2 linked regions of the Notamacropus eugenii genome follow. The protein of the gene in region 1 interacts with the protein of each later gene in a pairwise test. Links are inferred from orthologs where the notes say so. Each region holds a gene or a part of one and is shown in the gene's direction. Other genes may lie near its edges.

Evidence for each region. The genes of interacting proteins can lie anywhere in the genome.
Region 2: the proteins of BRAP (region 1) and NUMA1 interact in a two-hybrid assay, tested with the Homo sapiens proteins (2 studies listed by BioGRID and IntAct). The link is inferred for Notamacropus eugenii from reciprocal best matches to the Homo sapiens genes BRAP and NUMA1.

What each region holds. Positions count from the first base shown.
Region 1 is NC_092875.1:34,534,863-34,542,166, forward strand, and holds the start of BRAP (BRCA1-associated protein), read left to right. Parts: upstream 1-4,295; 5' UTR 4,296-4,569; coding exon 4,570-4,654; coding exon of another isoform or gene 4,655-4,658; intron 4,659-6,544; coding exon 6,545-6,706; intron 6,707-7,304. UniProt on the Homo sapiens protein: Negatively regulates MAP kinase activation by limiting the formation of Raf/MEK complexes probably by inactivation of the KSR1 scaffold protein.
Region 2 is NC_092876.1:96,760,673-96,768,495, reverse strand, and holds the start of NUMA1 (nuclear mitotic apparatus protein 1), read left to right. Parts: upstream 1-4,808; 5' UTR 4,809-4,942; intron 4,943-7,823. UniProt on the Homo sapiens protein: Microtubule (MT)-binding protein that plays a role in the formation and maintenance of the spindle poles and the alignement and the segregation of chromosomes during mitotic cell division.

The sequences.
Region 1 (7,304 bases):
GGGAAGTCTTAAGGGACTTACTAAAGTTGAACTGTTTACATTCCTACATGGAAAGAAAATATTTGTAACTCTTGAAACTTTTCAGTATCTGGGTAGTGGGTGGGATTACACACACACGCACACACACACACACAGACAGAGAGCACAGAGTGAATTGAATAGGATGGGATCATATCTTTAAAAAATGAAATTAAGGGGTGAAAGAGAAATACATCAGGAGGAGAAAGGGAGCAATGGAATGGGGCAAAGTAACTCTCATAAAAGAGGCAAGCAAAAGACTTTTTAGTGGAGGGAAAAAGAAGGGAGGTAAGAGAAAAACATGTTTACTCTCATCACATTCCACTAAAGGAAGGAATAAAATGCACACTCATTTTGGTATGAAAACCTATCTTACAATACAGGAAAGTGGGGGAGAAGGGGATAAGCAGGCTGGGGGGGGAGGATGGAAGGGAGGGCAATGGGAGGAGGGAGCAATTTGAAGTCAACACTTTTGGGGAGGGACAGGATCAAAAGAGAGAATAGAAGCAACGGGGGGCAGGATAGGATGGAGGGAAATATAGTTAGTCTTACACAACACGACTATTATGGAAGTCATTTGCAAAACTACACAGATATGGCCTATATTGAATTGCTTGCCTTCCAAAGGGAAAGGGTGGGGAGGGAGGGATGAGGAGAAGTTGGAACTCAAAGTTTTAGGAACAACTGTCGAGTACTATTCTTGCTACTAGAAAATAAGAAATACAGGTAAAGGGGTATAGAAAGTTATCTGGCTCTACAGGACAAAAGAGAAGATGGGGACAAGAGAAGGGAGGGATGATGGAAGAGAGGGCAGATTGGTGATAGGGGCAATTAGAATGCTCAGCATTTTGGCATGGGGGGAGGGGACAAATGGGGAGAAAATTTGGAACCCAAAATTTTGTGAAAATGAATGTTAAAAGTTAAATAAATTAATTAAAAAAAACAAAACACTTCCCTAACCAATTCATTATCCCACTCACAATGGCAGCTTTTCATCCCTTCTCCAACTTCCCATGGTTTCCCCTCCTTACTCCCTCTCCATTCAGAACCTTGCCTCTCACTGAAAAAATAGACCATTAGCAAAGAGCTCTCTCTTCTCCCCTACACCCCTAGTCATCTCATGCCCCTCAGACATCTTCCTTCAGTCTTTCTTCCTCTTCTCCTCTTCTGAAATCTCTGCAGAGGCTTCCAATCTCATCATTCAGCCCAATGTCTTACTGACCAAATAGACTGGCTTTGTCTCAATCGTCATACTTCTCGACCTCTCTTCAGTCTTTGACATGACTGTTCCTTCCCTTCTCCTTCTCCAGGTTTTTGGGACATCACTCTCTTCTGGTTTCCCTCCTGTCTATCTGACCACCCCCTTCTCCTTTAATGGTTCTTCATCCAAGTACCCTCCTAGACCATGGATGTCCTAGGAGGGTCTGAACTAGACCCTTTTCTTTTCTCCCTCTAGATTATCTCCCTCAGTGCTCTCATCAACCCATAGATTCACTCATAAGGTCTAATGCAAATTACTTTCACATGTTTATTCAGTCCTAGCTTCTCTCTTAACCTCCAGATTCAATTCTCCAACTGCCCATCAGACATCTTGAACCAAATGTCCTATAGACACCTTAAACTCATTCAAAACTGAACTCATTATCTTTTCTCCAAAATCTTCCCCTCTTCCTGACTTCCCCGTTACTGTCAAGGGTACCATCCTCCTCCCAGTCACCCAGACTGGCAACCTAGGTGCCACCCCCAACAACTCATTCTCCCTCACCCCACCATATCCCCCATGTTGCCAAATTCTGTTCATTCTGACTTTTTTTTCTTTTAGCATCTCTGGCATACTCCTGTCTCCCCTCTGATACTGTCATTACCCTGGTACATGCCCTCATCACCTCCCACATGGACTATTGCAATGGCTATTGAGTGATTTTCCTACCTCAAGTCTTTCCCCACTACTATCTATTTTCCACTCTGCTATCAAGTGTATCTGTTATAAGTAAAGAGCTGATCACATCAGCCTTTTCTGGTGGTTCCATATTGTTATTTTTTTATCCTTCGTTTTTGAAGAGAACCATGACATCAGGGAGGTGATGCTAAGACTTGCAAGTGAATTGGATTTAAGCGAGTAAGGGCTGTGCAAAGGCACCCAGCCTCACTTTCTCCTCCAGCACTACCTAAGTCCAATGGCCAGATATAAATCAGGATGACTGGAGATGGCCCCCAGCTTCCATTTTCTCCAAATCAAAAGAAGGAAAATCCTGTTTTGTTTTCAAAGCTTTTCATAACCTGTCTTCCAGTCTACTTACACCTAGTGACCCCAGTATACTCTGGCATCCAATATGGTGGCTGGGTGAGTGGTGAGAAGAGGACATACACAAGAGAAAAGGACAAGCAATAGCAGGTGTCTGGATACGTGAGGTGAGACTGAGCAATCAAGGATGGCTCTGAGCCTGGGGACTGAAAGGAAGATGGTGGCCTTGGTAGTATGAGCAAAGTCTGGAAGAACAATGGGATGGTGGGGAAAGACAGAGAACCATCTGGGGCACATTGAGCTTGAGATGCCTATGAGACATCTGACTCACAAGGTAGCAATTAATAAAGGTTTGTTGATTCTGTCAAGGTTGGATTCATGAAGGGTCGACTGCACTGGATTGACTTACTTTTATACACAAAGGGTGTTCTCTCCACCTAGCCCAGTCTATGATTCCTCCCCATTTTAGTGGGGGGAGTAAAGAAAAAATTAATCCCATTTATTAGCCCTGTTTGACAGAAAAGGAAACTGAGGCTGGGAGAGAAGTGATGCCCCTAGTGTCACACAAGGATTGATCAGCCTTTCTATATGGCGCTAGGCTAGTCCCAGGTGGCCCATACCTAGCCTTCCAGGTCAGAAGAACCCACCTAACCTTCTAAAACTGAGAATTACCTCTGTGGCCAGATGAGACAACAGAGGAAGCCTCTGCTATCCTGGCTTCTCCTACTAGAGGGACATTTCAACAAGACACTGGTAAAATTCTTCCTGCATAAAACATGCTGCAGCCATCTGATGCTTGATAGGACCGGAAGGCAGGAGAGCCTGAACCTGGCTCTGGCACCAACTGACTGTGGGACCTCGGGCAGGTCCCTTCTCTCTGAGCCAGTTTTACCAGCTGCAAAATGAGATGGTGACTCAATGGCCCCCGAGTCCCTTCCAGCTCAGACATTCTTTGTTTATACCCTAGGCTTGTCAAGGGAGAGAGACAGCAAGAAGATATGGCAGAGTGCCTGGCCCACAGTGGTGCTTCATGTCTACTGAATAACTCATTGACTTTTTGACTGACTTTATAACTCCAGGGCCTCAGTTTTCTCAGCAGTCAAACAGGCACAACGACACCTGTAGTAGATTCCTTCTAGAATCACTGGGAGATCAAAGGAGGTGAAAACGATGTCAAGCACTTTGCAAACACCTCAGTCAGTGCAATGTGCTGGGGACTGTTTCTGTGTCCTTTGTACATGCCAGGGCACAGAGTAGGCACTTAATAAGTGCTTGCTGCCTTGATTCAGGTGCCCCCCCCTCCAGGCAACTAGGCAGAATAATGTTGTCCAAAGGTTGCTAGACTTGAGGATACTGAGGCTTGGAGGGATAGGATTGGAATCCAAATCCAGGCCAGAGGCCCTCAGACACCCTACAATCTCAGGGGCAGGGCTCTAAGGCCCATCTGGTCCAACTCCCCCATTTTGCAGGTGAGGAAACTGAGGCCCAGGAAGGAGCCAGTGTTGCTTAGGATCATAGGAGGAGGAAGGGGCCGAGGTAGGATTTGAACCCAGATCCTAAGACTCAGAAACCAACGCTCTTTGTACTGGGCAGGCCACCTGAAGTCCTGGAAACTGACTAGTTTAGGGACAGGAGGAAAGCCCCCAGCATAAGCCCCGCCCCCAGAGCTCCGGCCCCGCCCCTCTCGTGTTCTAACCCCGCCCTCGCCAGTCGGGTCCCCTAACGCTTCTAACGGCGGCCCGTTGGCGCACGCCCCACGAGCTTCCCCCCACCCCCAAGCCCTCGAGAGGGAGGGAGGGAGGGGAGAGGAGGGGGACTTTTCAGGAGCTGGGGGAGGGGAGAGGGAGTGGAGGACAGAGCAGGGAGTGAGTGCGTGCTCACCTTCTCCGAGCGTTCTGCTCACGTGACCGCCCCTCCCCTCCGCCCCGCCTCCGCTCCAGGCCCCGCCCCCTCACGTCACGTGGCTCTCCTCACGCCAGTGACAAGCGGACGGCGGCCGGGAGGCGGAAGTGGCGGGCGTTCTCGGTCGCTCGTTTCCCGTCGGGCTTCGGAGGTGAAGCGAGCGCCCGAGGGAGCGCGGGGCCGGCCGTGTCAGCCGCGGCATCTGGGGCCCCGGCAGCCCGCCAGGCAGTCCGCCCGCCCGTGCGGCGGTGGCGGCGGCGGCCTTCCCTGACCAGTCCGGCGGCGAGCGCCTCTGCCCTTCCCCAACCGTCCGGGAAGGGGCCCGCATCGTCGCCCCCGACCCGGCCCGTCCCGTCCCCGCCTGGGCCCATCGAGGCCCGCGCCGGGCTGCGCCTGCCCGCCCTATGAGTGTGTCACTGGTTGTGATCCGACTGGAGCTCGCGGACCACTCGCCCCTGCCCGCCGGCTTCGGCTTCAGCGCGGCCGCCGGTGAGTGCCCACTGCCCGGACCGGGAGCGGCGCCGCCGGGGCCCTGCCCTCCAGGGGGAGGGGGGCTGGTGGGGGAGGGGCTGCCCCCTCCCCAGCGTCTCGGGTGGGTCTCCCTGCCCCTCCCCCCCAAGCGCGTTCGCTCTAGGCTCCTCCCACAAACCTCCCCTCCTCCTCTCTCCTCCCCTCCCAAAGAGGACCTGCCCCAAGTGCTAGACCCCCTCCCTCTTCTGAGGCGCAGCGGCCGCTGTGTGACCCCCCCAAGACCTCCACAATGGGGGGTACAACACCCCAGCTGCCCACTGGTCAGTAGTGCTTTCCAAGGGCGAGGAGCGCCCAGCCCCCCGCTGTGGGACGTTCACGTCGGGCTAGGCGTGGGGCCAGGTAGTAAACACTCAGGGCTCCTACGTGCCAGTCGCTGCGCTGGGGATGCCCCTGCCCTCCAGGAGCTCTCAGCTTTAAGGGAGGAGGCAGCGTGCAACAGGTGTATACAAAGCAAGCTCCAAGAGGGGCTGGGTGTGGGAGATCCCACGTAAAGTCCAAGAGAGATTTCCAAGGGGACTTCTGTCGTGAATGATGTAAGCCCTGCTCGCATCAAACTCCATTGTAGAACCTCCTGAATGAGACCCGTAAGCCCAGAAGGTTGGCACAGAAAAACCGAGTGGAGGAAGGGTACTGGCGCTCTAGCCTGACATGCCTCTGAGAGGGCACCTTTAGTGCTTCTTTGTCAGTTCGGGTCCTTTGGACAGACTTGGCAAGTGTACGTTGAGAGGAACCGGGAAAAGAGCAGGATGGAATACATTTGGGAAATGCCAAGGTTCTTCTAAATGACCCCAAGTTGTTCCTTGAAACAAAGGCCACATGTTTGTAATACCAGTATTGTGCTGGTGTTATGGCCAAGAATTGTGAATGGTAGTCTCCGACGGATTAGGGTAGGGGAGAGAGCCTTGGGTGTTTGTGAGCAGGCTGCAGCCTTTGACAAAGAAGGAATTAGGAACAACTGCAGTCATTTTTTAAAAAGATTCTGAAGATGGATAGTGTATGCTCCCCTGATGTTTTTGAAATGTCGAGTAGTCAAGAGGGGCCTCCAGTACTTTGGGAGACCTCTTGCAGCCCACTTAGGGAAGGGTCTGAGTAGGAGTTGCACTCCTAGGCAGGGGCAAATTGTGATCGTCATCCCTTCAGTGTCTTCATTTCTGCAACAAGGTAGCGTAAAATCACAGAAGGAACTTGGGCGAGGAGTCGGGTTCTGGTTCAGAGTTCTTTCCTTTCCCTGCTGAATGCCATGAGGGTAAGATTCTTAATCTCTCTGAGCCTCAGTTGTCTTCATGTGAAATAAAGTTGTGTTACATGATATTGAAGGTCTCTTCCAATTCTTTGATTCTGTAATGGAGAATGGTAACACATATTGTACAGGATTATTTTGAGGATCAAGCGAGCTAATCTATATGATAGTGCTTTGAAAACTGTAACCACATTATTTTAGGACAGAATATTTTTATGGTGCTTAACATCACAAATTCAAACCTTGGCCTTAGTAATTAAAAAAAAAACTTTACAAATCTGTCAGTTGACATGTTAACTTGGGGCTCAATATAACTTCCTTCAGGACTCTCTTTGTGGCTGGTTTCTTCCAGTTCATGTCATTAAAACAGACCTACAGATGTTTATAGGTAATTAAATTCTCATCCCTTCCTCTTCTCCCTCTCCCGCTTTGTCCCAGGCTGGTAAAGAAAATGAAAAGGTAGTTTCCTGACTTCTCTAATAATATAGAAGCTACACAGTGACTGTGCTATTCCTCAGATCTGCTTGTTTTTTTATTGGCGTGAGGAGGAGTTTGTTTTGCCATCTGGACAGTCACTATGAGACACTAATTAGTTATGTTTTACTTAGTTAGGGAGATGTCTGATGAAGAAATCAAAGAAAAGACACTAGCTTCAGCTAAGGTCCATTTAGAAGGAAAGGCGCCAGTGGAGAAGGCAGCAATTATACACCAACATCTTGGCCGGCGAGAAATGACAGATATGATCATTGAAACCATAAAATCTAACCCAAGTAAGTTTTTGAAATGTCTTGAATCACTTATTAGATTGTTTTGTGCTTGTGGATGATTATTTCATGCCTGTTCAGTAAACCTATTATTTCAGTCTCTTAGATCGTAATTTAATGTTAATTCAAGTACTTTTTAAATGAATCCTAACAAATTAGGTTTGCCTTTATTGACAGTAGTAGAGGAACTACCTCATAACTGAATCACAAATCAGTGGTCAGTCCAAATAAATCTGTTGTCCATTTCCATTGTGTTGCTGACATGCTTTGTTCAGAGGAATTGGATCAGTATAGAAACTCAAATGGCCAAAACTGGTAGATCTACTTTTCAAACATGTTAGCTTTGAGCATACGTATAAAATATCTGTTTACAAGCGTACCCTGATAAGTATAAAGTCCTTGGAAGTTATCAAAAGTGTTGATTTCATTTTTTGAGGGGCAAATAGAAATTACATTTTGAAGTTAGGGTTCATTTTTTGCATACATATATTTGATTATTTGGGGAATTTGTTCAAATTGTAGTATGTTTTCTTTGCCAGATATGATCATTGAAACCACAAAATCTAACTAAGGCATGTTTTCTGAAAGGCTGAAAAATCTTTTA
Region 2 (7,823 bases), on another chromosome or scaffold:
CAGTCTTAGCTCCTTACAACACCAAAAGTTTAAGTGAGTTGTCCAGGCTCAAATAAACCAATATGTGTTGGAATTTGCGCTCAAACCCAAGTTTTTTGGCTTTGAGGCCACTATCCACTATGTTTTGGTGTCGTCATTGGTTCTAGGATAAAATGCAAACTTCTATTTGATGTGTAAAGTCCTAATCTGGCTTCATTCTACTTTTATAGGCTCAGTGTACATTAATCCCTTGGGTTTGAGTCCTGCCTCTGACATATATTGGTTGCGTTATCCTGTATGAACCTCATTTATAAATTGAAGGGGTTGGAGGAGATAGCTTCTATAGTCACATCCAGCTCTGTGATCCTTTGGCCTTTGGCCTCTGATTTTGCTCAAGCTGTTCTCCAAGCTCACCTCTACCTCTTAAAATCCCTAGCTTCCCTTAAAGGTCACTTCAAATGCCATTCCTCTGAGGCTTTTGCTAATTCCTCCAGCTGCCAGAGCCTCTCCCATCAAAATTGTCCATATTGGGATAGAATGGCAATAGTAGCTACTTAAATTTATTCAGTTAATCAATGATATAGCATAAGAACCAGAGAAGGTGCTGTTAGAACCAGAAGAAAGCAATGTCAAGCAAACTAAAAGACTATCTTGGAGCAAGTGATAGTGTTGAAAGTTCCAGAAAGGTCAAGAATATGATTGTAGAAAAGGGTATCAGATTTAGTAGCTAAGGATTGTGTGTCATCTGCGAGGAAACAGTTTTAGACCAATAGTGGAGTTTCAGGGCAAGTGCTGGTGTAGGAAGTAGAGGCAACAAGTATAGCATAGCTCTGAAAGAGAAATCCCTCTTTGTCTAGCTTTATGTAATATATTTGCGTGAAGGGGTGAGGGACGGTGGGTTATTGTATGGGGTGTTCAGGAGGACTAGCACCTCTGGTGTGAAGGCTTCTTGAGCCACTTTTCAGGGGCTGCTCATCCATCTTTGATATCCACTTGATTCATCCAGTTTTCACCTGTGGCTCCTGGAAGCTGCAGCATGTGCAGTAACCACACCCCAGTAAAACCAATCAGCAGAGAGACTAAAACAAGCTGAGGGTAACTGACAGATCTTCAACCTGTTGGTGGCTAGGGGAATGTCTACCCCAAGCACGTGAAGACTTTCCCTAGCAGAATGGGCAGATGAGAACAGTTCATTCCAATGGCCAGGATGGTAGCTAAAGCAGGTGCTGTGAAGCAAAAGTCACATGCTGCATTCTGTGCCATGGCCAGTCACCTTGACTTTTGTCCTGCCACTGGACTTTGTGACTCAGGAAGGGAGTGTGAGGCTGATGACTGTGCAACTCTACCTCACTTAAATTGAATTTCATACACAAGTCGAGACACAACCCGTGACTTCACTGGTCCTCTTCAAAAATGGAAGGACAAACAACAATATATGGGGCAGGTGAAAGATTTTTAAGGATGGGGGAGGCTTGGTGACATTTGTTGCTGTTTGTCCTTTGTATTTGAAGATGACCAATGACATAATGGGTGATGCAGGCAGCAGTGAAAGAGCCAGAGAATGATGGAAGAGAAGATGAGCGGATGGGATCAAGAGCACAAATGGAGAAGTTAGCCTTGGGAAGAAACACCACCTTTTTATCAGAGACTGGGGCACTGGGGACACAAATTTTTAAATAGGCAGTGCTTACTGTCAGAGACCTTAAAGTCTAATAAAATTGGGAAGGCTCAGGTATGTACACAAATAAGAACAAAAATGGGATAAGGGCAAATACAAGATGGAGTGCTGTAGGAAAATCTGAAATTGGCAAGAGTGTTCGTTTCAAAGAAATGGCACTGACCTTTTCCTTAAAGGAGAAAGAATATGGTAATATTCTAATATAGTAATAATAAAATATTCTAATAAGAATAGGTGGGCCTCCAAATTCAATACTCAACTAAAACTGATTTCTCCAAGGAAGTGTATTCCAGATAGGGGAGTAAAAGGAAAGAATGGAGAATGATATGGAGGAATTTTAAGGTATATCATAGGACAGGAGAACTTACTATAGATGGATAACTTTGCTTTTTTTCTCACTAAGGTAGGAATTGAAGTCTTCTGAGAGGGGAGGAAAGGGTGTAGTACATAGGAATTTGAACAAAGATGAATCACTTCAAATAATCTTGAGAATCAGAATAAAAAGACTGCAGCTTTGAGGGCCCAGCTGAGATCAGATAACAATGGGGTTGAATCAGCAGTCATTTTGAGTGCCTTCCTCTTTGGGCTGTTGGAAGAGAATTAGAAGATAAGGAGGGTGAGGGTAACACAGGCCTCTGGCACGATCATGAAGGGTAAAAAGAGTCAAGGGTACATACACATTAGTATGCCATTGAAGCGGTCAACTCTAGTACCAGAACAACAAAGGATGGAGGGACTGAAGGGTATGCTGAGGATGAAGGACAGTTTTAGGAATGATGCAAGAGTACCAAGGGTTATGATCAAAGATTCAGTATCCCTATGGATAGCTTTGGCATAAGGATGACCTAGGTCATGTGACTTAAGGTTGATAGGTTGGGAGACCAGGGTGTTTGAGGGGACCTCAATGTAGAAATTGAAATCCCCAAGTATTCAGGGAGGGTTTGGGATGGAGGAGGGAAAGACTGAGCCAAGTACTGAATGTGAGAGGGTGACTATCATACCAAAAGATGAACACCACAGATATAAAATAGGTCTTAAGCCCACTTTACAGATGAAACAAATGCTGAACGATGTTACATGACTTACTTAGCACCACAAAGGTACTCTGTTTGAGACAGGATTTAAGTTCAAGTTTTCCTAACTCCAAGCCTAGCATTCTATTCACTATGCCAGTTAACTACCATTCAGAAGAATGCAATGGGCCTAAAAAGAGGGAGTATTTGCTGAGTAATAACTGCAGATGGAGGGTTTAGAAGTGTCACTGGGGAACCAGGAATATATTTTTTCTTCTGTCCAAGCCTATTAGGAGAAATGAGAGGAGCAAACAGCACCCAAGAAGTAGTGATTCTGTGTCTTCTGGAGACATCTATGTTTCCATGGGCACATGAAGATAGAGTATTAAAGGAAACAGGATAAAGGGAATACCATTAATGATTTAATTGGGCTTTCATAGAGTAAATGAAAGTGGAAAGGGTGTAGGAAGTTGCTTACCCAGTTCCAAAATTTCTAGTTACTTGATATATTAGGTGGCTATTAATGTCTGAGCTGTCTTACCGAAAAGGGGAGAAAATCAAGAAATAGCCTCCATCTGGGCTGGCTGTCTTGCCTCTGTCAGAACCCCCATATTCTCAGATTGAAAGCACCCTTTCCCCCATTTTGGTGGTGGTCTCCTCTTCACCATCCCAATGGTATGGTGCCAAAGTCTGCTTCTAGGAATTTGAAACTCTTAGGCTACAGAAATGGGGAGGGGAGTACCCACCCTCTGTCATGCCTAGCAAGTACCTCAAAAGTCCCTAATTGGTCTCCCTGCCTCCAGTCTCTGGCCTCTCCATTCCATCTTCCACAGAGTTGCCAAACTGATATTCCTAAAGCATAGGTCACTCCTCTGCTCCAGATGCTCCCAAATTGTCACTAAGTTAAAATACAAACTTTTGTTTGATATTTAAAGCCCTTCAAAAACTGGCTCCAGCCTACTTTCCCAGGCTTATTACTTACTCCTTTCAGACACCTTGCCCTCCAGCCAAACTAGCCTTTGTGCCTTTACTCAAGCTGTCCCTGCTCCACCTCACCCCCATGCCTGGTATACATTTTTTTTTTCACCTTTTTAGTCCCTTAGTTCAAGGTTAAAATTCAAATACCTCTTCACTAGGCCAATCTCGATCACTCCCCAATTGACCTTACCGCCCCTGACTTGCCATGCCCCCTCCCCAATTATTTCCCATTTTACTTATCTGTTACTGGAGTTTCTCCGAAAAAGAACGTATTCTCTTTGACTGCTAGAACTTTTTCGTTTTGTCTTTGAACAAAGTGCTTATCCCAGTGCCTGGAATATAGTAGGCACTTCATGTCTGCTGAGTGAATAATAAATGGGGTTCCCAAGCTACCTTCTCCCCGGACTACCTCAGGTTCTTACAGCTTAGCTGTCTCTGCTTTGGGGCCACCTCAGGCCCTTGTAATAGGGCTACCTATGCTTGGCATGACACCTGTATCCGCCTCAGTCCTTGCCCAGTGCGCTCACCAGCTGCTGCCCAAGCTCACCAGCTCCGTTTTCTTCAGCCTTTGCCTTCCCGTAGACAGCGGCACGCTTAGCCCAACTCCATGGTAACCATCATCATCACAGCCTCCCAACCTCTGTACGCCTCGCCCCGGGGCATGCTGGGACCTACAGCCCTCCCCGCCCCTAACCGTGGCCAACGGGAAGAAGGTTTTACTTAGCTGCACAGAATCCTGGGACTTGTAGTTTGCGGTTTTCAAGGTCAGAAACCGAAACTTCAACACAGTCTGGCCTTCTAAAGTTCCTCAGTCCCTACAATCGTCGCTCCTAAATTCTCTGCCCCGACCTCTACCTTTTATCACCCCTTCTCCATTTCCCGCTCTGACCCGGGCCCCTGCCCAATCCCTTAGGGAGCCGCGAGGAATACTGGGATTTGTAGTTCAAGCTTCCCTCCGGCCTGAGGAGATAGAGACTCGATGCTCCCCCCGTCCTGCTCCAGGCTCCCTTCTCCCAAGCAACCTTCCTTCTTTCTCCCGCCCTGCCGGGGCTGTGAGAGTGCGCATGTGTACCATGATGTCTCCTTGGTTTGACCAATGAGGACTCAGCACGAGGGGGCGGCGCTGCAGTTCAAACTGTGGGCTTGGGCGGCGGCGGCGGCGCCGGAGGCTGCCCCAGCAGCTACTAGGAGATGGGGGTGGGGAAGTGGCTGACGGAGTGAGTCCTGAAAGTGGGACCTTCAGCGGGTCCTGGGAGCTGTAGCCCCTAGGAGGGACGCGCGCGTGCGCGGCCAGGTAAGACCAGGAGGGGAGTCGAGGATGCACCCTAGTGTCGGAATGAGGAAATGGAGAGGAGGTGTCGCGGAAGCGGAGGGAGGACGGTGTGAGGGAGCTGCCGAAGGGCGGCGAATGCGGGGTGGGGCGAGCGGAGAGAAAAGAACCTGAGAGGGGAGGGGGCGGCGAGGGAGAGCGGAGCTTTGGGGGCCGCCCCGCGTTGTGGGGGACAGGAGGCGCCTCTCGATGGGGGAGGGGCCCTGAGGGGGGAAGGGTCGGAGAAGTGGTGGGGCCTGCTGAGTGCCCTGCGCTGGCGTGGGCGACCGGGACGGGGAGAGGAGGCGCACCCTGCCCTTAAGAAGCTGGCATGCTGCAGGAGCCGCTGCCAGTGCCGCTCAGAGGACGCGCGGAGCTTCTTTTTCAAAATAAACATGGGCTTGTTTTCTGGGGAAGGAGATCTGGACTTTAAAGGCTATAATAATGCGAGGTGCAAGGAAGGAAGGGGAGCATTCCAGGCTTGGAGGATCTAGACCAAGTCTACACGCTGTTATTAAGCACCTCCTATGTGCCAGGCGCTCGCGGCTGGGTGGCGAAGTGGGTAGATAGAGCCCCAGGCCTGGAGCCCGCGGCGCTCGCCTTCGTGAGTCCAAAGCAGTCCTCAGACATTCCTGGCCGGGTCAGCCTGGGCAGGTCCCTTAACCGGTGTCTCCGTGTTCTCATCCGTAAAACGAGCTGGAGGAGGAAATGGCCCCCGCGCCAGGATCTCTGCCCGGAGAACCCCGAGATGGGGCGACGGAATCGGACACTGCTGAAAGCTGTACCAGCGCAGTGCCCGGGCGAGGACAGTTCTGTGTAGTAAGACAGTACGCCTTTATTACGGGCCTGCGCTGTGCCAGCCCTTGTGCCAAGCCCTGGGAAGGCAGGAAGATCCGTCAGTGATAAACATGAGAGTTTGTATTTGGTTCTAGAGGCAATAAGGAGCCATTGGGAAAAGGAGGCAGAGAGAAGAACTGAGACTTGGAGACACTCCATTTTCTCCGGCTGCCCCCCGTGCCTGGAACGCTTTCCCTCTACTCTGTCTACAGACTTCCCTGGCTTCCTTTCAATCCCCACTCAAATTCCATCTTTTTTGGGGGGGCGGTATTTAGTATTTACTTTTTCCCCAGTTACACGTAAAAAACAAGTATTTTAACATTTGTTTTCAAAATCTTGAGTTCCAAACTCTCCCCTTCTCCGTCTTCCCCCACTCCCAAGGCAAGCAATTCCATAGTAGGTTATACATAAAATCCCATCTTTTATAGGAAGGCTGTCCTAACTCCTCTTAATTCTGGTGCCTTTCCTCTGTTAATTATTTCCTATTTATCCTGTATATAGCTTGCTTTGTTCGTTATTTGTTTGGGTGTGGTCTCCCCCATAAGATTGTAAGATCATTGAAGGCAGACTGTCATTTGCCTCTTTTGGTATTCCCAAGGCTTAGCACAGGGTCTGCTGGCACTTTATAAATGTTGATTGATTGATTGAATTAAGAAGCTAACAGGTCCCTGAAGAGGTGGTGAAGATTTAACTAGAGTGGTTGTGGTGAGTTAGATTTGAAAGCTTGAGGGCAGGGCCTGACCTTTACTTCTTTTTTGTATCCCAGCCAGTGTCTGCCACATAATAGATGCTTAATGAATGTTTGATTAATTGAGTTGAGAAAAGATGTGAAGATAGAAACAATTTTTGTTGTTGTTGTTCTTCAGGACCCCATTTTGGGTTTTCTTTGGCAAAGATAGTGGTGTGGTTTCTAGTATTTAAAGATAGCTCTTGGGCTTCTCACCCTATTTTTCAGCGTCACTCTTAAATTGTGGTTCCCAGGAATAAGTAAACTATTTCAAATGTGACCCAGTTAGGATTGAGTTGGTTAGATTATCACCTTCCTTGTTTTGAGTACTCATCTAGAATTGTGTATAAATTATTTTTTTTAGCAGCTACTCCATGCTGTTCTTAGTAAATTTGTAGAAAAAACTAACACATGGCCTGGCTCGTACTCATGGACCCCTTAACTCTGCAAAGCAGTTAAAGGGGATGGTATTCTGTGTCTCCCTGCAGAATATTATCGACACTGACTTAGGTACAAATGGCAAAAAAATAAATAATAGAAGATTAGCTGTAAAAGGAGGGCACATAGGGAATAATGAGAACTCAAGTTATGCTAATACCCATGAACTAATAAAATACTCATCAAGGGTTATTCACCTAGGATCTGTGAACTTGATTTATTTTTTAAAAGATGTTTTGATAAATATTTCAATACATTTGCTTCCCTTTTCAATTCTATGTGTTTTATTTTGTGCATTTAAAAAATATTATTCTGAGAAGTTGTTCATAGGCTTCACCATCTTATCAAAGTGGTCCATGACATAAAAAAGGTTAAGAACTCATTTGGGTAGATTCTCTGAAGAGGATTTATGGATAAGAATTGCGCAAGAGGAGAGAAGATATGGACGAAGTTGCAGTTTGTTTCCCTATTAGAAGGAACACTGATGAGAGCTAAGAAAGTAAATTTCATCTTATTAGATTTGATCAGTCATTCTCACCTGTCAAAATGTTTTTGGAATTGTGCAGGTGGGTTCAAGCCCTGCATAGGTTCATAGGGACTGCAGGGGGGGGGGGGGGGGCGGGTTATGTTGAGTATTTCATTAGCTTCTCCATTGTGAAACTTAGCCAAATCCTAATTCAAGATGTGTTGTTAATATGTTCAATAAATGGTTGTAAGCATAAAAAAAATGTTTTTGGATTCTGACTCTGTCATCCAGTGTTTTAGCATTCCATTCCAGTTTCCTGACATCTGCAAATTTGATAAACATACCTTCTCTTCCTTTTCCAGGTCATTGATAAAAAAGATGTTAAGTAATGCAGGGCC